Linked DNA regions of Saccharomyces cerevisiae S288C. The gene in region 1 interacts genetically with each later gene. Each region holds a gene or a part of one and is shown in the gene's direction. Other genes may lie near its edges.

Evidence for each region.
Region 2: mutations in PRM7 (region 1) and ERT1 together harm fitness more than expected from each alone (negative genetic interaction), as found in Saccharomyces cerevisiae (2 studies listed by BioGRID).
Region 3: mutations in PRM7 (region 1) and MDL1 together harm fitness more than expected from each alone (negative genetic interaction), as found in Saccharomyces cerevisiae (2 studies listed by BioGRID).
Region 4: mutations in PRM7 (region 1) and WHI5 together harm fitness more than expected from each alone (negative genetic interaction), as found in Saccharomyces cerevisiae (2 studies listed by BioGRID).

The regions. Positions count from the first base shown.
Region 1 is NC_001136.10:380,600-386,387, reverse strand, and holds PRM7 (pheromone-regulated protein PRM7), read left to right. Parts: upstream 1-2,306; coding exon 2,307-4,403; downstream 4,404-5,788. Other genes in the region: BSC1 (Bsc1p), read left to right, coding at 801-1,787; peptide alpha-N-acetyltransferase complex A subunit NAT1, read left to right, coding at 4,950-5,788.
Region 2 is NC_001134.8:697,416-702,922, reverse strand, and holds ERT1 (Ert1p), read left to right. Parts: upstream 1-2,979; coding exon 2,980-4,569; downstream 4,570-5,507. Other genes in the region: VVS1 (Vvs1p), read left to right, coding at 1-334; THI2 (Thi2p), read left to right, coding at 1,081-2,433. UniProt on the Saccharomyces cerevisiae protein: Transcription factor which regulates nonfermentable carbon utilization. Activator of gluconeogenetic genes like PCK1. Involved in restriction of Ty1 transposition.
Region 3 is NC_001144.5:525,323-531,357, forward strand, and holds MDL1 (ATP-binding cassette permease MDL1), read left to right. Parts: upstream 1-2,977; coding exon 2,978-5,065; downstream 5,066-6,035. Other genes in the region: SKG3 (Skg3p), read left to right, coding at 1-2,623; ATG26 (sterol 3-beta-glucosyltransferase), read right to left, coding at 5,475-6,035. UniProt on the Saccharomyces cerevisiae protein: Mediates export of peptides with molecular masses of 2100 to 600 daltons generated upon proteolysis of mitochondrial inner membrane proteins.
Region 4 is NC_001147.6:476,722-481,433, forward strand, and holds WHI5 (transcriptional repressor WHI5), read left to right. Parts: upstream 1-2,811; coding exon 2,812-3,699; downstream 3,700-4,712. Other genes in the region: DNA-binding SCF ubiquitin ligase subunit DIA2, read left to right, coding at 1-71; TGL5 (triacylglycerol lipase), read right to left, coding at 218-2,467; LPX1 (triglyceride lipase), read left to right, coding at 3,866-4,712. UniProt on the Saccharomyces cerevisiae protein: Transcriptional repressor that negatively regulates G1-specific, SBF- and MBF-dependent transcription. Binds via SBF to promoters of G1-specific genes to repress transcription in early G1.

The DNA.
Region 1 (5,788 bases):
ACGCGAACAAATACTATTCAAGAACTTGTGCTACCTCTTGAAACCAAATGTTAAACTGTTCTGCCATATTTGAAAATAATTTCAAAGTTGTGGGAAAAATATTTTGCCATCATACGACAAACGTTTCTCTGGCTGTGACTGATAGTCGTGTAGGTCCTGTATTATCTTGCTGACAAACATCTTAAAAAGTCTTTTGGAAAAAGAAAAAAATAAACTTTCCTTCTTTTTTTTTTGGTTCCTGCGGCTCTTTCAAGGGGCTGCCAAACCTTATATTCTCCTCCTGTCATTTTAGAAGGAGAGGTAGCGGTCTTTTCTTTTTTTTCGTGCCTACACGCGCACATGACGATAAAACTGGCCCAGGCGAGATCAGATCAGCATTTGCACGTTGCATTTTACTTGTTTTCTTATTGGCAAAGAAAAAAAGCTCGGAACAAGCCACTAATACCCGATTCTATGCTTACAGAATAACCGATACTACTGGAAAGAAAAATTTTTCACATTAGTTCGCTGCATCTCCATGATCGTTTAATTATTTTATATTTAAGAGAAGCAAATCACTTCCTCCAATGTCATGATGGTCTTGGCAATTTTCCTCCCCTTGTTGCAAAAGTGTAAAATAGGTATCCACATCATTCATAAGAAAACTACTAATATCATTTTGCCTCCTATTTGCGGCCTTGCTCACAAATTCAGCGACTGCTGATAGAATTGATGACAAGGTGAGCCCTTCATTTGATCTAAGCAAAAGAGACGAAAGCGTTGCTATCAATGGTTGTCCAAATTTGGATTTCAACTGGCACATGAGCCAACAGAATATACTACATTATGATATGGATGTTACTTCCGTATCATGGGTCAAGGATAACACATACCAGATTACTATTCATGTCAAAGCCGTAAAAGATATCCCTTTGAAATATTTATGGTCTTTAAAGATTATTGGTGTCAACGGTCCCTCAAGCACCGTACAACTTTACGGCAAAAATGAGAAGACATACCTAATCAGTGATCCAACAGATTTTACATCCACTTTTCAGGTTTATGCTTACCCTTCTTCTGACGGTTGCACAGTTTGGATGCCAAATTTCCAAATCCAGTTCGAATATCTACAAGGTGATGCTGCTCAGTACTGGCAAACTTGGCAATGGGGGACAACCACCTTCGATTTATCGACAGGTTGTAACAATTATGACAATCAAGGCCACTCACAAACGGATTTCCCTGGATTTTATTGGACCTACCAGTGCAAGGGAAACAATGATGGCACTTGTACAAAAGCCTCGTCTTCATCCATTACTACTTCATCCATTACTACTTCATCCACTACTACTTCATCCACTACTACTTCATCCACTACTACTTCATCCTCTACTACTTCATCCTCTACTACTTCATCCTCTACTACTTCATCCTCTACTACTTCATCCTCTACTACTTCATCCTCTACTACTTCATCCTCTACTACTTCATCCTCTACTACTTCATCCTCTACTACTTCATCCTCTACTACTTCATCCTCTACTACTTCATCCTCTACGAAAACTTCCACTACTACGTCATCTACTGTGAAAAGCTCTTCCACTACATCCATTGATTTTACTACTTCCGTTGACTCACATACTTCATCAAGCGTAGCCGATATTTATCGTTCAAGAACATCTACTGATGTCACCACATTAGCAGCTTCAACTAGTCCTTTCAGCAGTTTCACTTCAAGTGACTCTAGTAGTTCAAGCGATGTAACCAGTTCAACCATTCAAACTACTTCTGTTGATCCAACCACTTAAGTAGTAAGTTCAAGTTCAGAAGACCCAACTAGTTCAAGCGCTGTGACTACTTCAGTTGACCCAACTACTTCAGTTGACCCAAATACTTCAGCTGATCCAACTACCTCGACCGTTCAAACTACTTCTGTTGATCCAACTACTTCAGTTGACCCAACTAGTTCTATAGTCAGTTCTACTTCAGTTGATCCAACTACTTCAGTTGACCCAACTACTTCAGCTGACCCAACTACCTCGACCGTTCAAACTACTTCAGCTGATCCAACTACTTCCGTAGTCAGTTCAAGTTCAGCTGATCTAAGTAGCTCTGTTATCAGTTCAAGTTCAGCAGACCCAACTAGTTCAAATGCTGTGACTACTTCAATTAACCCAACTACTCCAGCTGATTCAACTACTTCGGCCGTTCAAACTAGCCCAGCTGATCCAAGTAGCTCTGTTACCATTTCTACTTCCACAGACTCTACATCTTCAATTGAGTATACTACATCGGATGATCCACACGCCTCATCAAGTTTAGCGGCTATGTATCGTACAAGAAGCTCTGACGAGGTAACCACATCAACAGATCTAACTAGCTCAAGTGACGTTGCTACTTCAGTTGACCCAACTACTTCTGTTATCAGTTCAACTTCAGCAGACCCAACTACTTCAGCTGACTCAACTACCTCGACCGTTCAAACCACTTCAGCTGGTCCAAGTAACAACATCGGCAATTCCACTTTGGCCAATTCCACTACTTTTGCAGTTAGTTCCACTTCAATTGACCCAACTAGCTCGAGCGATGTGATTACTTCAACCGTTCAAACCACTTCAATTGAACCAACTACTTCTCTCGTCAGTTCAAACGATATTACTACTTCAACAAGTCTAAATATCTCTGTCGTGATTTCCACTTCCACGGACTCTACATCTTTAATTGAGTCTACTACAACAGTTGGTCCACATGCCTCATCAAGTGTTGCTGGTATGTATCGTACAAGAAGCTCTGACGAGGTAACCACATCAACAGATCCAACTAGCTCAAGTGACGTGGCTACTTCAGCAGATCCAACTAGTTCAAGCGCTGTGACTACTTTAGTTGACCCAACTACTTCTGTAGTCATTTCAACCTCAGTTGATCAAACTAGCTCAAGTGACGTTGCTACTTCAGTTGACCCAACCACTTCTGTTATCAGTTCAACTTCAGCAGACCCAACTACTTCAGCTGACTCAACTACCTCGACCGTTCAAACTACTTCAGTTGATCCAACTAGTTCTGTAGTCAGTTCCGCTCCAGTTGATCCGGCTAGTTCTGTTGTCAGTTTAACTTCATCTTACCCAACTAGCTCAAGCACTGTGACTATTTCTGCTAATTCAAACGGTTCAGCTACTTTAGCGGCTCAAACTACTTCAATTGATCCAGTTAGCTCCATCGTTAGTTCAAGCGGTGCAACTACTATCATCAGTAGCGCCTCAATTGATCCAGCTAGTTCTGTAGTTAGTTCAACTTCATCTGAACCAACCAGTTTTATTGTCAGTTCAACCTCAGTTTATTCAACCAGACCAAGTGGTCCAACTACTTCAACAGATCTAGCTACTTTCTCTGACACAATCATTCTAAGGGTTTCAACCACTTCAACCAGCCAAGATACCCAAACAGTATCATCTAGTCTAACTGATATGGTTTCCTCAACTGGTTCAGCTGATTTGAGCGTCTCATCCATTCAAAGATCTCAAGTAGACCCAAGCACTTTCGCTGTCTCGAATAGCCCAGTATATCCAACAGCTTCGACCGGATCAACTTCCACGGGCATTCCAATTGCGTCGGAAAGTCTAAGCCTTTCTAGACAGCAAGGAATTTCGGCCACTTCAAGTTCTTCGATTGTAACTTTAACCCCAGTTGATTCGGCTTCCTCGAGTAGGTCAAGCGCAACAAGTATAATCAAGCCTAATATGCCAGTTAGCAGCAATGATTCGAAGACCCAAAGTTCTGTTTCTGTAGTTGACGCATTCCAATCAACTAAATCTTCATATCCTAGCATAACTTCAGCAGACCCAACGACTCTAGCCAGTGAAAATGGTTTAGTCGGCTCATCTTCCTCAGCTCATCCAATCACATTAGATAGAACTTATGCATCAGCTCACGCAAGCGTCACCGATATTGTCAGTAGAGTTACTGACTCGACTCGCCATACAACACTAGTAACTTCAAACATTAACATTCAGTCTGAGGTTGGGAACCCAAATTACTCGGGTCCCAAAGACACTACCATCACCAAACAATCTGCATTTATGACTTCTCCTGCATCAACGTCTACTATAAGTAACGTTCAATCAACTGCTTCCGTAATGAATCACAGTATTGAGGACAATATTTCTGCAGCTGCCTCTCTAGAAAGTGTTTCTGGTACCTCAACTAAAGATTATTCTAGTCAATCCAGTGCCATTCATTATACAAATTCCTTCACGACCACCACTACTAACGCATTTATCACATCAAAGCATTCCATTGCTGCTGTATCAACAGGAGCCATTACATCATCTGCCAGCATTTCATTAATCATGGAAGGCAGCGCAAACATTGAAGCAGTAGGAAAATTGGTGTGGCTCGCTGCCGCTCTTCCTCTAGCTTTCATTTAGTCATTCTACCATCTTTCATGTCCCTACGCCATTCTCGTTCGTATACCATATAAACCAATTATAGATTTTACATAGAATAATAGTTAAATTTGATTATAGAATATCTTCGGATTCAATAAAAAATTATTATTATCAGACTCTTTCTGTCCACTCCTTGAAGTATGCAAAGTGCTTCGAGAACGCCATGACATTCGACAATTCAAAATTGAGAGAGGACTGCTAAGGAAACTCTTTGAGTTGATTATATAATCGCTATTTAATCTTTTAAAGGGGGAATACTGCTAAATTTTCATTATTGTACAACTGGAGACATGATAGGCCTGAAATGTGCCACCAAATTGCATGACCTTGCTAATGAGGTCGCTGGGTTGCGTATGCACTTTTTACCCTGCTCCGCGTCGAAACAGAACATAATACAGAGTAAAGAGGAAAGAGCGAAAATGAAAAAGTTTCTACACTCAAAAGTCAAACCTTTTTAAAAAGTGATGTTCAGATTCCTTGTTTAAGACAAATACCATTGAGGAAGGCGATTGACCCTAACGAAGTATGTCTAGGAAAAGAAGTACTAAGCCCAAGCCAGCAGCTAAAATAGCTTTGAAAAAAGAAAATGACCAGTTCCTCGAGGCATTGAAACTATACGAAGGGAAGCAATACAAAAAATCTCTCAAGCTGCTAGACGCAATTTTGAAAAAAGACGGTAGTCACGTTGATTCCTTGGCTTTAAAGGGTCTTGATTTATATTCTGTAGGTGAGAAAGATGACGCTGCTTCCTACGTGGCTAATGCCATCAGAAAAATTGAAGGCGCTTCAGCATCACCAATCTGCTGTCATGTATTAGGTATCTACATGAGAAACACCAAAGAGTACAAAGAATCTATTAAATGGTTCACGGCAGCTTTGAACAATGGGTCCACTAACAAGCAAATATATAGAGACTTAGCAACTTTGCAATCACAAATTGGCGATTTCAAAAATGCTTTAGTGTCCAGGAAAAAATATTGGGAAGCATTCCTTGGTTACCGTGCCAACTGGACATCATTGGCTGTGGCACAAGATGTGAACGGTGAGAGGCAACAAGCTATTAACACTTTATCTCAGTTTGAAAAACTCGCTGAGGGAAAAATATCTGATTCCGAGAAATATGAACACAGCGAGTGTTTAATGTACAAAAACGACATTATGTATAAAGCTGCCAGTGATAACCAAGACAAGTTACAAAATGTATTGAAACATTTGAATGATATCGAGCCATGCGTCTTTGATAAATTTGGTTTATTAGAGAGAAAAGCAACTATTTACATGAAATTGGGTCAATTGAAAGACGCGTCCATTGTTTATAGAACTCTGATCAAGAGAAATCCAGATAATTTTAAGTACTACAAATT
Region 2 (5,507 bases), on another chromosome or scaffold:
AGGTCTCACCTTGAGCGTATCCTTTTTACTGGTCACGGCCACTTTTGTCTATATTGCCGCATTCGCCATCGGTCTGGGACCCATCCCCTTCTTGATCATTGGTGAGCTATCCTACCCGCAGGATGCCGCTACAGCTCAAAGTTTTGGTACTGTGTGCAACTGGCTTGCCACCTTCATCGTCGGATACCTCTTCCCGATAGGCCACGGCCTCATGGGCGGCTACGTATTTGCGATCTTCGCCGCCATCGCTGCCATGTTTGCTACATATGTGTACAAGCGTGTACCCGAGACAAAGGGCAAGACTACATACAGCGAGGTTTGGGCTGGCTACTGATCTGTAGCCAGTCATATATACCTAAGCAACTATTTTTTACTTCTTTCTAGCTATTCATCTGTTTTTTATTTTCTTCTTCTTCTAGTAACGAACGGCTACATGAGTATATGCACTCATTTAGTTAGTATCTATGTATATGTACGGAACTAGGCAAACCAAATGGATTGCTGTTGTATGAGATCCGTGTGGCGGAAACCATGACTACCGCTTGTACTGCCGGGGCCAAAATAGCACACGCGCGTCATGAGTCGCTCACGGGCGAGCGTCTATCTGCATATTTTCCTGAGCCCAATATTCGGTTCTGCGTCTTAGCGGCATAAATGCATCCGGCAGGACTGCCGAGAAAAGGAATATACAATGGCAGCCCTCTTGGCGCATTTGATGTATGCGGATTTCCAACCAATCTGCGAATGCATCCGTGCCAAAATGAAACGGCATTTAGCTTGAAAGAGTCGGAATTCCTGCATCAGATGGGTACCATTTTACCACAGTCTTTTGACTCACGCAGAGTACTCGCGTGCAATTGCTTGCAGGTATAATATATACATATATATATATATATATATATATATATATATATATGTACAATTTGTATGACAAGTGGGTGCACCTTTCTCGGTCGGAATTATATGGGGAACTAATACTACGGGTTAGAGCTATAACAATTTCTGCACACTTTAAAAGCGTTTTCATTTCATTTCACCACGTATATATATAGCCTATATATATATCCGCACTAGAACCAAATGGTCAATAGTAAGAGGCAGCAGAGAAGCAAGAAAGTAGCGTCATCCTCCAAAGTGCCCCCCACCAAGGGGAGGACATTTACTGGGTGCTGGGCATGCAGATTCAAGAAACGCAGATGCGACGAGAATAGACCAATCTGTTCACTGTGTGCCAAACATGGAGATAATTGTAGTTACGATATCAGACTTATGTGGTTAGAGGAGAACATCTACAAAGTACGCAAGCATTCACTGATCAGTTCATTACAGGCTCGCAAATCGAAATCGAAACCATTGTGCCAGAAAATCTCAAAATCAAGGTTTAAACAAATGACCCATTTTAGACAACTATCACCCCCGACAAGTGACTGCGAAGACAGCGTGCACGAGGCAAGTAAGGAAACTACGCTTCCTAACGATAATACATTCACCATAAGCGTACGGAGATTGAAGATATACAATAACGCTGTGGCCTCTGTCTTTGGTAGCATGACAAATAGAGATTATACTCAAAAGCGCATAGACAAGAAGTTGGACGAATTGCTTAATATGGTGGAAAACGACATATCTGTGGTCAACCTCAATTGCTCCAAACACGGGCCTTACTCAGTTTTCAGGGCCAATCCGGCTGCAGTTACCTCTGCTCTTACAGATCAGCTGCCGTCGCCGGGTCATTCGATGTCGTCAGCAGAGGAAACCACTACTGCAGCGCTGTCATCGCCGCCAGAAGACAGCACCTCTTTGATCGATATTATCCAAGGCAAAATTTTCGGGATCCTATGGTTTAATTGCTACGGGAACATGATATTGAACCGACAAGAATACACGACGTGGTTCATCAATAAGATGAGGAACTCGTTGACCACGGAATTCATACGCTTCCTTGGGAAAATAATTGACGACCCGGACATCAATATGGCCTCGTGCCTGTTCAAAGAGTGCATCGCTCGTTGGAGTTGTGTCGATTGGCAATCCATAGCTATAACAATGCTGGTCATCATTCATGGATATACCTGCCCCAACTTGACAAAGCTTCTAAGAGTGTGGTTTCTCCAGCAAAAGCTATTGAGATTTTCGATGTATCCGCTGGTCAACTTTATCATAAACAATACACAAGATTTAGACGTCCTGTACCATTGTAATGGATTGCTAGGGAATGCCGACTTATTCGAGGATCCCTACCAGGACGAGCTTACGTCGGAGTTACATGTCTTGGTCACGGAGCGCCTAGTGAATAGTTGGAAAGATACAATATTGCAACAACTTTGCTCATGTCAAGATACCACACTTTCATGTTCCCAACTGCGGTACTGGCAGCTACAACTGAAGTGTAATCAACAATTTTACAAGGATGTATATGCCATGCAGGACTAGGCTTATTGAGCCTTCCCTTCACTCATTTCAAGAAAAAAAAAGCCAAAAGCTTTGCTTGGATATTATACCCATTTTTAACGACATATTTTTTCCCACTACTTTAGATAGAAATTCATGATATTTTGTTTTATATTATATATGTATATATATATATGCACGAAAAAAAATTAAAGTTTATCACTGGGAGATAGGGTTTCCTATCTGCCAGGGTGAAACGTTTATTTTACTGATTTCTTTGTCTTTACTGACATTTATCGGATATCTATCTATCATTCTGAGCCTATGCTTTTTGTTAGCCGTAGACTAAAAAAAAAAAAAAATTGAAGGAAAAGAAATGAAAAAAGCAAATGAGTTGCAATTTTAGTATATTGTAAAAGAGTAACCACATAAAAAAACTAAACAAGAGCCGGTGCAACGGCATTACTCTCTTAGATAAAATTGCTAGTTATATAAAGTCAGGATACTCTTGAGCTATTTTTATCATTTCTTTTGGGTACAACAGACACACGAAGGTATAAAAATAAAATACATTGATGAATCATCGTGATGTGCACTCCAGATGAAAACGATTACAAAACATCAACTGACCCAGATACATCTGCAAATACAAATCATACTCTCGAAAAAAAGAAGAGAAAAAAGAGAAAAAACACAAACGTGGCATGCGTGAACTGTTCGAGATTGCATGTGTCATGTGAGGCCAAAAGGCCATGCTTACGATGTATCAGCAAGGGCCTCACGGCTACATGCGTTGACGCTCCAAGAAAGAAAAGCAAGTACTTGGCTGGAATACCGAATAGAGAGCTCCCAATGAACATACAACCGGACCTTCCACCCCGCAAGATCATGATACCCATTTATAACAACTCCAGCAATAGTAGCCTCAACGTAAATAACATGGGAGAACAGCAAAAATTCACCAGCCCACAACATATAGTTCACAAAGCTAAATTCCTATCGAATGCTGCAGATTCCGAGTACTCTATTCTGTCGAATATCATCTATCAAGACACATTGTCTAACAAGATCCCTATTGACATCCTGTACTCCAACACCAATTCCACATCCAACTCCACAATAGGCAATAGCAGTAACAATAGCCCTACGGGCACAAATACAAGCCCTGAAGAAACAGAAATGGAGAAAATTCGCCAGTTGTACAGCGAACAGCGAGCAAACATACCCCCACATCCGTATCCATCTTCCAATCAAAACGTTTATTCTATTCTACTGGGACCAAATTCAGCCAAGATTGTAGCTTCGCAAGTTAATCTTTTCGCGAACCATTTCCCCTTAGTGCCCGTTGATTCAGCTGATAATTCCTTAAACTTTAAAAGATTATTGCCACGGGACCCATCTGAAAAGAGCTCCCAAATTAATTGGGACTCAAGCATAAACCAATATTACTTGAACAGCGAAACGGTAACATTTCCCGAGTTGGCTATCCCCTTAAAGCGGAGGAAAAACCATTTGGTCTCTGTATCCCTGGAAAGCTGTTCACCAGACGCTGCCAACATCAAGAGCAATGTAGAATGGGAACATTCATTACGTTATTCTACTCCAATGGAAATATACACCTCCATAAATGCCCCCTTTTCGCATACACCTGGATTCCACCATCTTTTGGTGTACCTAAAGCATCGATTCAACCAGCAGGATCTGGTGAAGATGTGTCGGTCCATTGCCGAATTCCGGCCCATTTTCATTGCGTGTTCTGTAACTTTAACCGAGGAGGACATGATTTTTATGGAGCAATGCTACCAAAGAACTCTATTAGAATATGTAAAATTTATTGCACAAATCGGTACCCCGACATGTATTTGGCGAAGAAATGGTCAAATTTCTTATGTCAACGAGGAATTTGAAATTCTATGCGGATGGACAAGAGAGGAGCTACTAAACAAGATGACTTTTATCGTAGAGATCATGGACGATGAAAGTGTACGCGATTACTTCAAAACGCTCTCTAAAGTTGCATATAGGGACTTCAGAGGATCTGAGAAGATGAAAGTTTGCAGGCTCTTAAGCCCCATCAAGGGCAAGATAATTCATTGTTGCTGTATGTGGACATTAAAAAGAGATGTCTCTGGTTTGCCCCTCATGATCTTGGGTAACTTCATGCCCATACTCAATTGACTTTTTTTTTCTTTTTTTCTCATTTTACTACCTCGTATTATATAATACCTATGCATAGACCAAAAGTAAGTCAAGAACTGTGTTCTTTTAAAAGTGTTAACAGATTCCAGCAATTTTACTTGAAGCCTTGACCAGTTTCGTAGGCGTCTGCTCATTCTGGTCGATATCCAGAGGCTCGAGCACATATAACGAAGGGCCCCTATTGTGTATATGGCGGCCTTTACGAATCTTCCGATATTGGGTAGCTCCGTTTTTCTTCCCTTTTTTTTTTTTTTTTTCTTAAATTTCTTCTTCTTTTTTTGCTCTTCGTTTTATTTCACTCACCTGTTGTCGAAAAAAACATCAGGCGTATACCATCAAAAAACTCAACCAATTGAGCTAGTTTCACTTTCTGTACGCATGAGTTTCCAATGTCTCACAGGGCATGTCTCACACACCACCGCCTTCCACCTTACATAACGAACTGCGGAAAAACAGCATGCCACATGGTACCTAACTGGAAAAATAGCAGCAGTCCTCTTCATATTGTTTGCTTCGTTGTTCATTTTCTCGAAAAATTTCTCTTCTTTTCTTGCCTTGATAATATGTAAAAAAGCTTAAACTTTCAGGCAACTTTTCCCATATTGTTTTTCCGTGTGAAGGGACGAGTGCCTGCAGTGAACTGCTCGTACAAGAGAGGCAATTTCATAGATCCTCTGATTCTGCGGTAATTTCTCAGAGGACAGCACTCTGCACGAGCTTTGTGTGTGCACCAAAAGAAACGGGTTTCTTTCGGAGAAAAAAAGAAAAGAAAATTTTTTCAACCTTGCTCAAGTTATGCCATGGACATCTCGAAGAAAGTCAAAATAAGGCAATAAAGAAACTTTGTCGTTCAGCACTGAAGTTACATATCGCATTGGTTATATCTATAGAAACCCTTTTCCTTTCATTCTTCTCTC
Region 3 (6,035 bases), on another chromosome or scaffold:
TTCTTTTATCAATTTTACAGATGCTTCTGTGAGGAGTTTGGACGCTAATGATCAGGTAATCATTGCATCAGAGAACGAAAAGACAAAGAAAGATCTAGACAATGTTCTTGTTGTTTCAACAACTTTAAAAAACAGGTATTTCTTAAAATTCAAAAATTCAAAATCATTCAAAACTTGGAACGCAGCAATTAGGCTTAGTTTGTTCGAGTTTACGGCGTTGCAAGAGGCCTACACGGGCTCATTTTTGTCAAGCAGAGGTGTTAAACTTGGTGATATCAAAGTTGTTATGGCAGATACAAAATTCACTTATGAGGACTGGGTTAGCGTAAGATTCGGGACAGGTATGCCATGGAAACGTTGTTATGCTGTTATTTCTCCACAGTCTGGCAAAAAAAAGAAAAATTCGAAAGGTTCAATATGTTTCTATGAAAATAACAAAAAAACCAAAAAATCAAACATAATGACAACGGTAGTAGATGCACGGGCTTTATATGCCGTTTATCCTTCCTCGCCGATATTAATCGACACATCTACAATCATAAAATTGGAAGGTTTTGTCTCTTTTGACAAAAGTGAGGAACCTCAAGAAACCAACCTATTTATCATGCCTGAAAAGCATCAAGGTGTTCCGGGATATGACACTATTATTCGCTTCTTAATCCCAGCTATGAACGCGTTCTACTTATATGGTAGGCCAAAGGGTTTGATTGCCAACAGAACTGACCCAGACTCCCTGCTGTTTGCCTTACCCACTCTTCCGCATATATATTATTTGCAGGTGGATGACGTTTTATCATTAACAAAAGACAAAAATTACATACATTGGAGTGCTGCTGATTGGAGGAATAACATTGTTCAAGTATTACAGAAAAAATTAAGTAAGGGCTATAAAGGCTGTGGTAATAAAACTGTATCAGTTTCATCTGGGATGATGAAGTCGCCGGCAATTAGTTCAGCTGAATTATTTGAAGGGTACGATTCTCTCCCTGAAAGACAAATGGAAAGTCCGCAAAAATCTAAGATGAAGTCTCCTACATTAGCATCGACCGATGATATTAATTCCGCTTCTGCTTCCGTAAACTCACATGCTACCTCAGTAAAACAAACTGAATTATTTGTGACTGATAATTCTTCAAAAATCAATGACTCTGTGTCGGCGCAGTCCAGTGTCACTACTAACTTCAAAGATACTTTTACCACCCCAATGACATCAGGAATGCTCAACCATGAAAATTCAGAGAGAAGCTTTGGTTCAGGATTAAAACTCAAAATCACTGATTCAAATTTGGAAAATATGGAAGACGTTGAAGCGAAATCTGCTAACGAATTCTCTACGACACCAGAAGACAAACATATTCACCTCGCCAATGCAGCCGAATTATCCGCCCTTTACGACAAATATTCCACATCTCCGTTTGGTAAATCGGAGGCTAATTCAAGCCCTAAACCTCAAAAATTGGAAGTTAAAGATCGGTCAAAAAATGAAAACAGAAGCCCCTATGAGAGATACGTAGGTACATCCGCTGAAAGCAAGACATTTGAAATAGGTAACGTCAGAGAGTCGAAAAGTACGATAAATACTTCCCTTTCTTCGCCTTTGAGGGTAGAAGATAGTAGACGTTCAAAAAATGAGGACCTGGGATCTTTGAAAGAGTTTGAAGAGTTATCTCAAAAGATTAGCAATATGGGAATGGCAAATATTTCTTCAGAAGCTTTAAGTGACACAGCAGAAAACAGTTCTTTTGTTACGGACCTGAACTTGAATATCAATAACAGTTCATCGGTCAATCTCAATGAAGAACAACGTGTGCCGGATTTTGGGGAGGAAAACGTATTTGATCCAGATTATATGGAACAAAACCAAATGTTGGAAACAGAAAGTAGGTACACTACGGATGAGTTTGACTTTTCAGATAATCAGGATGCAGCATCCAGTAATTATAGCAATGGGCAAACCAACCGAACAGTAACTGAAACCCTTTCTGCCAGTGACAGAAATGACAAGATCCCACATTCTTCTTTATTTACAAACTTAAACCAGCTTACTTCGAATGGAGGAAACTATCAGGATAGGGAAGATTTCTCTGGTGATCAAATAAACAAACCTCAACAATCTCAACCACTTCATGTGAAAGGACCACAAACTTCGTCATTTGGTTACAGAAATTCTTCAGCCAATAGCTCGCAGCCTCAAGCACCATACCCGGTTGGTCGCCCGTTAGGTAAGATAAGAACGGGTCCGCTGACCGTCCAGCCTATGCAACAAGGTGGAAACTCATCAATGTATTCTTTCCAATCTTCGCAACATCGGTTTCATTCGTCGCAACAGCGCCAAAACCAATCACTTTCCTTCAGAAACAATACCTATGGAAGTGGTAACAATCAAAATACATTCCATCCATCGCCGCAACTGCAACAACAGCCTCAAAATATGAGATATTTGAATAATAAGTTACCAATAAATGATAGATCTCCAATACCGCAAACACAGCACCATGTACCAGATGGCCGTCCCAGCCTCCATATAAATACCACTAACCGCACAAATCCGCTTACTGCACAAAGTGGATTTTCTCAATTTATGCCTCCCAATAGCACATCAACCAACCCATATTCCAGCTGATTCATTTATATTTCATCTTTTCTTTTTTTTTTTTTTACAATTCAGTAGTTTTATATAACTTCCCATAAATGTATTATTTTTTTAATACGACTATAATATACCTCTATACCCTTATTTATCTCTTTACCTTTGCTTTTAAGCTAAACAAATCTTCATTAACAGGTATTATATTACTGGCGTCGCGTTTCGTTTAGGCGCATCGAGCCGAGACTTCAGAATCACAAATGCTTTGTATATATGTTACGTATTCAGTATTGCCCAACATGCAACTAGATTCAACTAAGCAGACGTGGGTACTTACATGAGAAGCAGATCATTGAAATTTTACTAAGTTAAAGAAGAGGAAGGGCTCCAATGATTGTAAGAATGATACGTCTTTGTAAAGGTCCAAAGTTGTTGCGAAGTCAATTCGCATCAGCAAGTGCACTATATTCAACCAAGTCATTGTTCAAACCTCCCATGTACCAAAAAGCGGAAATTAATTTGATTATTCCACATAGAAAGCACTTTTTGTTGCGGTCGATTCGATTACAATCAGACATTGCGCAAGGAAAGAAGTCCACCAAGCCCACTTTAAAGTTGTCCAATGCAAATTCAAAATCCTCGGGGTTTAAAGACATTAAACGGCTATTCGTCTTATCTAAACCGGAATCCAAGTACATTGGTCTTGCCCTCCTTTTAATCCTCATTTCAAGTTCAGTTAGTATGGCTGTACCTTCCGTTATCGGTAAATTATTAGACTTGGCTTCCGAAAGTGACGGCGAAGATGAAGAGGGCTCAAAAAGCAATAAGTTATATGGTTTTACGAAGAAGCAATTTTTCACAGCATTAGGAGCAGTATTTATAATTGGAGCAGTTGCTAATGCAAGCAGAATCATCATTTTAAAGGTCACCGGTGAGAGACTGGTCGCAAGATTAAGAACGAGAACAATGAAAGCTGCATTAGATCAAGATGCCACATTTTTAGATACTAATCGTGTCGGTGATTTGATCTCAAGATTATCATCTGATGCATCTATAGTGGCCAAATCGGTCACACAAAACGTCTCTGATGGAACAAGGGCAATTATTCAAGGGTTTGTCGGTTTTGGCATGATGAGCTTCCTCTCGTGGAAATTGACTTGCGTAATGATGATTTTAGCCCCTCCTTTAGGTGCTATGGCACTGATATATGGTAGGAAAATACGAAACCTATCAAGACAGTTACAAACCTCAGTAGGTGGGTTAACAAAAGTGGCAGAAGAGCAATTAAATGCTACTAGGACAATTCAAGCATATGGTGGTGAAAAAAACGAGGTTCGCCGCTATGCAAAAGAGGTTAGAAATGTATTTCATATTGGTCTGAAGGAAGCGGTTACTTCCGGTTTATTCTTCGGAAGTACTGGGCTAGTTGGCAACACTGCAATGCTGTCGTTATTATTGGTTGGAACAAGCATGATTCAAAGTGGTTCAATGACTGTCGGTGAATTATCTAGTTTCATGATGTATGCCGTGTATACCGGAAGTTCATTATTTGGTTTATCGAGCTTCTATTCAGAACTTATGAAAGGTGCTGGTGCGGCTGCCAGGGTTTTTGAATTAAATGACCGTAAGCCATTGATTCGTCCGACTATTGGAAAGGATCCTGTGTCATTAGCCCAAAAACCCATCGTTTTCAAAAACGTGTCATTCACTTATCCCACTCGGCCCAAACACCAGATTTTCAAGGATTTGAATATTACTATCAAGCCTGGTGAACACGTTTGCGCTGTCGGTCCATCAGGAAGCGGCAAATCAACAATTGCGTCTTTGTTGCTCAGGTACTACGATGTGAACTCAGGATCGATCGAATTTGGTGATGAAGACATCAGAAATTTCAACTTGAGGAAGTATCGAAGACTAATAGGATACGTGCAACAAGAACCACTACTTTTCAATGGGACTATTCTGGACAATATCCTCTACTGCATTCCGCCTGAAATTGCGGAGCAGGATGATCGTATTAGACGTGCTATTGGAAAAGCTAATTGCACAAAATTTTTGGCCAATTTTCCAGATGGATTGCAGACTATGGTTGGTGCTAGAGGCGCGCAATTGTCCGGTGGTCAAAAGCAAAGAATTGCATTAGCTAGAGCGTTTTTACTAGATCCTGCCGTCCTTATTTTAGATGAAGCAACCAGTGCCCTTGACTCTCAAAGTGAAGAAATAGTTGCCAAAAATCTTCAGAGACGTGTGGAAAGGGGGTTCACTACTATATCAATTGCACATAGGCTTTCGACGATCAAACACAGTACTAGGGTGATTGTGTTAGGAAAACATGGCTCAGTGGTTGAAACCGGTTCATTCCGAGATCTAATCGCCATTCCTAATAGTGAACTAAATGCGCTGCTTGCCGAACAGCAGGACGAGGAAGGAAAAGGGGGAGTGATAGATTTGGACAATAGTGTTGCCCGGGAAGTATAAGAAGTTGCCGCAGTATGGAATCACTTTTCTATGCCACAGTTATGGTATGTGTTGGAAGACAATTAATTATCGCATTATGTTTGCTGAATATGAAATTGTGTATTCTATAATTTAAATGATGCCCAATGTAATTTACACAAACAGTTTTTTTTTAAAGCTCCTTGTACGCCTTTATACACATTAAATTAATATTAGATGCACAACATACGGTACGTTTAGGAAACTCAAATTAAGCTTTATTTTTTTACTTTTTTATTATTGTTACTATTATTCTTATTATCAACATTATCGTTTTCATATCTTTCCTGAGTACAAATATGACTGAAACTTACAAAAAAAAAATTAATTATTTATTACTATTAATGATTAGATGTTACGCTTTTTTATAAAAGTGAGAGTGATACTCGGTTTAAATCATCGTCCACCCTTCATCCGTTGTTTCAGCAGGTGTCAGTTTGGTTGCATCTACATTTTCCTCTTTCTTGCGCGGAGTTTTCACTCTTGATAAAGTAACGCTTCTTGCATACTCAAGTTCGTTGTAAATTGCACTTATTGCAGTTTTAATCCCATCTTCTTTGGAAATTTTCTTCTTTATTAATCCAGCTCTATCCTTCATTATTTTGTTCGTCGTAGCTACTTTTAAAGCATCTGCTAATGTTTGAGCGTTAAGTTTCTTTAAAGCAATACCAACTCCAATGTCTTCTACTCTACCTGCATAAAAGAACTGATCACCAAAGAAAGGTTTTATAACAGTAGGTAAACCAGCACGTAATGAAGCTCCAGTAGTTCCAGAACCACCATGGTGAACGGCAGCATCGACTTGTGGGAACAACCAATCATGGGGAACGTTTCCGATATTTAAAATGTTTCTTGGAAGATCTACCTCTGTCTTCTTTGCCGCCTTATCGCCCAACCTTTCTGACCATCCCTTATTTAAAATGCAGTATACATCTGCTTCCATAACTGCTTC
Region 4 (4,712 bases), on another chromosome or scaffold:
CTCAAGTGGATTGTGTTTATGAAAGAGATGTATGGAGAAAATTTGGAATTAATTCATATTCATACTCATAGATTAATAAATCACTGATGATAATGCAGTATCCTTCGGAAAATTCTTAGAATATTTAATATAACAAAATGGCATGTACCTTTTGGAGTTGATGGAGGTGAGAATATAGAAAGCTTTTTATATAAAAATGTACTTATTGTCTTTCATTTCAATTTTGAAAAATGTCTGAATTGTTCATGAAATTGTCGTTTGTGGCAGCCGACATAGCGTCCATGGGGAACCTGCTTGGATTGAATAAAGTGTTATCAAATGAACCGTTTTCAATAGCCGGTATGGGAAAATCTTCTGAGTTTGTTTGAACATCATAAGAGGAAATTGTTCCAGATTTTTTTCTATTTTTCCTCATCTCTGCCGACATATTTTGATTATAATAAGAAGATCTTTTTTTGAATTGAGGTCGTGATGGAACCTTCAATGGTGATTTCTTTAGCCGTAAACTAGATGCACCGATGGCAAACGATAAAGAATTTGCCTTCTGCCTTGTACCCTGCTGCGTGAATGAAGATTTTGAACGTTGTGGAGATGTAGAAGGCGATGGAGAAGGCGATAACATATCCATTTTCCTCTTGTTGAAGGTAGAAGATGGAGAAGGCAATGGCTGAAGAGGAAATCTTCCCGGTGCCGCTGTTTTGTTGGGAGACTTGATAATTGATAGTGAATTGGAGGAGGATTCTTCCAAGTCAACTCCCGGCAAGTCAGCATCCATTATGGAAAGAGATTTGATTTGCTCACTGAATCGAGGTTGGTAGAATTGTAAAGGGTTTTTTATTGACGAAGAGATTATTATTTTCTCCTTTAGGAATGTGATGGCCTTATCCAAGGCGAATTCTTGGCCACAGTTATTTTGAATCATGGAAATTTTCGGCCAAGTAGCTCTTGCACCTAAAGTAGTTTGGTGCAATAGGAAAAGTTGAGATGGGTTCTTCAATACTTCGTGGAATTGACCAACCATTGATAGATCGGGTAAAATTGTGACATTGCCAGAGTATTGTTGTAAAAAAAGGTGTTTCAATTTGGTCATCAAATAGGGATGGAACTCAAGCTCCTTTAGGATGTCTAAAAAATGAATAGTTTCGTCGGAAAAAAATTTGAAGATCTTTGTTACTTGGTTTCTGAAACGGGCGGTAATTTCCTTTTCAATTTCACCCCCAACGCAAGTGTTTGAAAACTTTAACAGGGGAAAGACATGTATATTTACCTGGCAGGCGATAATGTGGTCGACATTGAACATTTCAGAAAGACGAGAAATGGGCATGTCATTATCTACAGATCCGTCCATGAATTTCATGTTTGATAAATGTAAATTTGTTGCCCCCCACTCTTTAATCTTTCCAGTGTGAGGATCTTTCTCGAATAGCGGCGTGGAGGGGAAAACTCCAGGTAGAGAACAAGATGCGCATACGGCAGACCAGATGAGAACGTTTGGAGCGGTTAAATTGTTTAGTAGTTTCGGCTGTTCGTATATGGAAGCAGGCGAGACTGTGATATTCAGGATTTTTCCAGTCTTGTTGTAGGCTTCCCTAAAGGTCAAGTTTCCTAAAAACGAAAGCATTGTGTTAATCAAAGGTTGATTATTGAACCAGGTACCGTTTTGGCAGAACCTCGATATCTTGATTAGTAAGTTTTCGTTGGGAGATTTGGAATTGTCGTCATTGAAGATGTTAAACTCCATATTAAGTACATTGGTCAACAAGGAGGGAATTTCCTGGGTCGTGTGGACGCAAAATATGCTGGCAACAATGGCGCCAGCACTGCTACCGCTGATCACCTTAGGCATCAGGTCCGATTCAAAAAGGGCGGCAAGAACACCAATGTGGAAAAGGCCGAAAGTGCTCCCACCGCTAAGCACGAGAGCCGTGCGCCCTATGTTTCTTCTCGTCTGTTGCAAAATACCGAGGAGATAGTGATCGTTCATATTTGACTGATGGATCAGCGCGGTGAGCACTGCTTGAGACTCTTCTAGGTAGTCATGTATAATTTGTTTTGTGCCGGTATGCGAGTGCCTGTAAAGATTAACGTTATTCATGTTGCCAAGATTACGGACCCACTTAGTTCTAATCAGATAAAGCAGGCGGTGGTAGTCGTGAGTGGTTCTCAAATGGCGCATACGGATGGTCAAGTCTTGCAGCAGCTTATAGTTATACAACGAGGACTCGTCGATTGTTTTCCATTCGGAAAGTCCCGTTAAGTCGTCTAATCGCGACGCTATGTCATTCCATTGATCGTAGGAGATGGCGTGTTTTTTCTGGGAAGACAAATCGGATATGAGCAGCTGTTTACGGGAGAGAGTCTTGTGGTATAACCATTTGAAGAGCGATGATGAGTCTGTGGCAGGAGTGTTGGAAAGTTCGTAGTATTTGGATAAAAGAAATTCTGTTACTGGCAAGGTATTAGACATAGCAACGAAACAGAACCGTCTTCCTTGTGCTGTTTATGATGTCTTTTGTCTCCTATTGTTTTCGAATTTTATTTTTTTTTTTTTTTATTTTTTTATTTTTTTTTGTTTTATATAATTCCTCGCGCTGCCTTAATGATAATTCTTGATTTACTAATTGTTTCATGACTTCTGGTGCTAAAGGGAAGGGGGAAAAGGGAAGCGAAAACTTCAAGAGCAGAACGAAAAAAATAAAAAAAACAAAACAAAACAAAACAAAACAAAGGCAAAACAAGGCAAAGAACCTGATGGAAGAAAGCACAACCAGATATTAATAGCAACGAAAAATAGTAGAGACATTGAAGAATATGAGTTTGAGAACGCCGAAGAGAAGCAGGACTAGCGATGAACAAGAACAAGAACAAGAACAAGAGCAGGTACAGAACCCAGATACACATGTAAACAACGAGCATCAGCAGCGACCTGGGCCAACCACTCTATTGAGCACGCCAGTACGTCTCAAAAATGGCTTTGGAACACCATCGCCGCCGTCACCACCAGGCATAACGAAAAGCATCACTAAATCGAGAAGAAGGCCGTCGACAACGAGTCTTCAGGGTATATTCATGTCGCCCGTCAATAAGCGTCGTGTCGGCATAACCGCACATGGACGTGTATATGACCATAACGACGACGGACACGAAAGTGAGAGTGAGGACGACGAAAATGAAGAAGAAAATGAAAATCAAAAGAAGTACGACGGACACGTTAGTATGCCTTTGTTGCCACCGACAACGCCCAAGTCAAGACGGTCGGAGGTGTTTCTGTCGCCGTCGCCGCGTTTGAGGTCACCTCCGACGGCTGCGCGTCGGTCTACGGGCGAGCGGCCCATCCGCGAAATATCACATACTTTGCGCACCAGGCTCAATTACGCGTTAGTCAAGCTGCAAAATGGATGGACGGACAAGACACTTCCCGAGCTGGAGACGGAGCTTGCTCCAGCAGTGCAGACGCCGCCACGTCGCTATCACAACAGATTTCCAGATAGTGCAGACGCGGGTACTTCCGCGCATACAGCGTTTCTTCAGGCGCTCGGAGGCCACCCACCACGGGAGGAGGCCACGGCTGTCGAAACACTGATGCTATTGTCGTCGCCTACCAAGAAGCAACAACACCGACCCGTGCCGGCGACATCTGCTGGAGAACCCACGGACGAAACGGAGCCCGAGTCGGATACCGAAGTGGAGACGTCTTAATGTGGTAGTACGAGTTTTTTCTCCGCAATCTCGGAGTTAGTGCAGCCGCGCCCGCTGCTGCACCCTTTAGCATATATATAAAGTGCGTAATGTGCGTGCTAAAAAAGCTCACTAGTGCGTACTCTGCTTATCTCTGCGTATCCGCCGATCAACATCCGCGGCTAAAATGGAACAGAACAGGTTCAAGAAAGAAACGAAAACTTGTAGCGCTAGCTGGCCGCGCGCACCGCAGTCGACGCTGTGTGCGACAGATCGCCTCGAGCTCACATACGATGTGTACACTAGCGCAGAGCGGCAACGCCGCTCTCGCACTGCCACTAGGCTTAACCTTGTGTTTTTGCACGGCAGCGGCATGAGTAAGGTGGTATGGGAGTACTATTTGCCGCGTCTGGTAGCCGCCGATGCGGAGGGCAATTATGCCATCGACAAGGTTTTGTTGATCGACCAGGTTAACCACGGTGATTCTGCGGTACGCAACCGCGGCAGACTCGGCACCAATTTCAACTGGATCGACGGGGCCCGCGACGTGCTCAAGATTGCCACATGCGAGTTGGGCAGTATTGACAGCCACCCGGCACTAAACGTAGTCATCGGCCACTCGATGGGCGGGTTCCAGGCTCTTGCGTGTGACGTCCTGCAGCCCAATCTGTTTCATTTGCTCATCTTGATCGAGCCTGTAGTAATCACACGGAAAGCCATCGGCGCCGGGAGGCCAGGGCTTCCGCCCGATTCTCCGCAGATCCCAGAAAATCTTTATAACTCCCTACGTTTAAAGACGTGCGACCATTTCGCTAACGAGTCCGAATATGTAAAATATATGAGGAACGGTTCCTTTTTTACCAATGCGCACAGCCAAATCCTGCAAAACATCATCGATTTTGAGAGGACAAAAGCCTCTGGAGACGATGAAGATGGTGGACCCGTTCGCACGAAGATGGAGCAGGCTCAAAATCTCCTCTGCTACATGAACATGCAGACTTTTGCGCCTTTCCTGATCAGCAATGTGAAGTTTG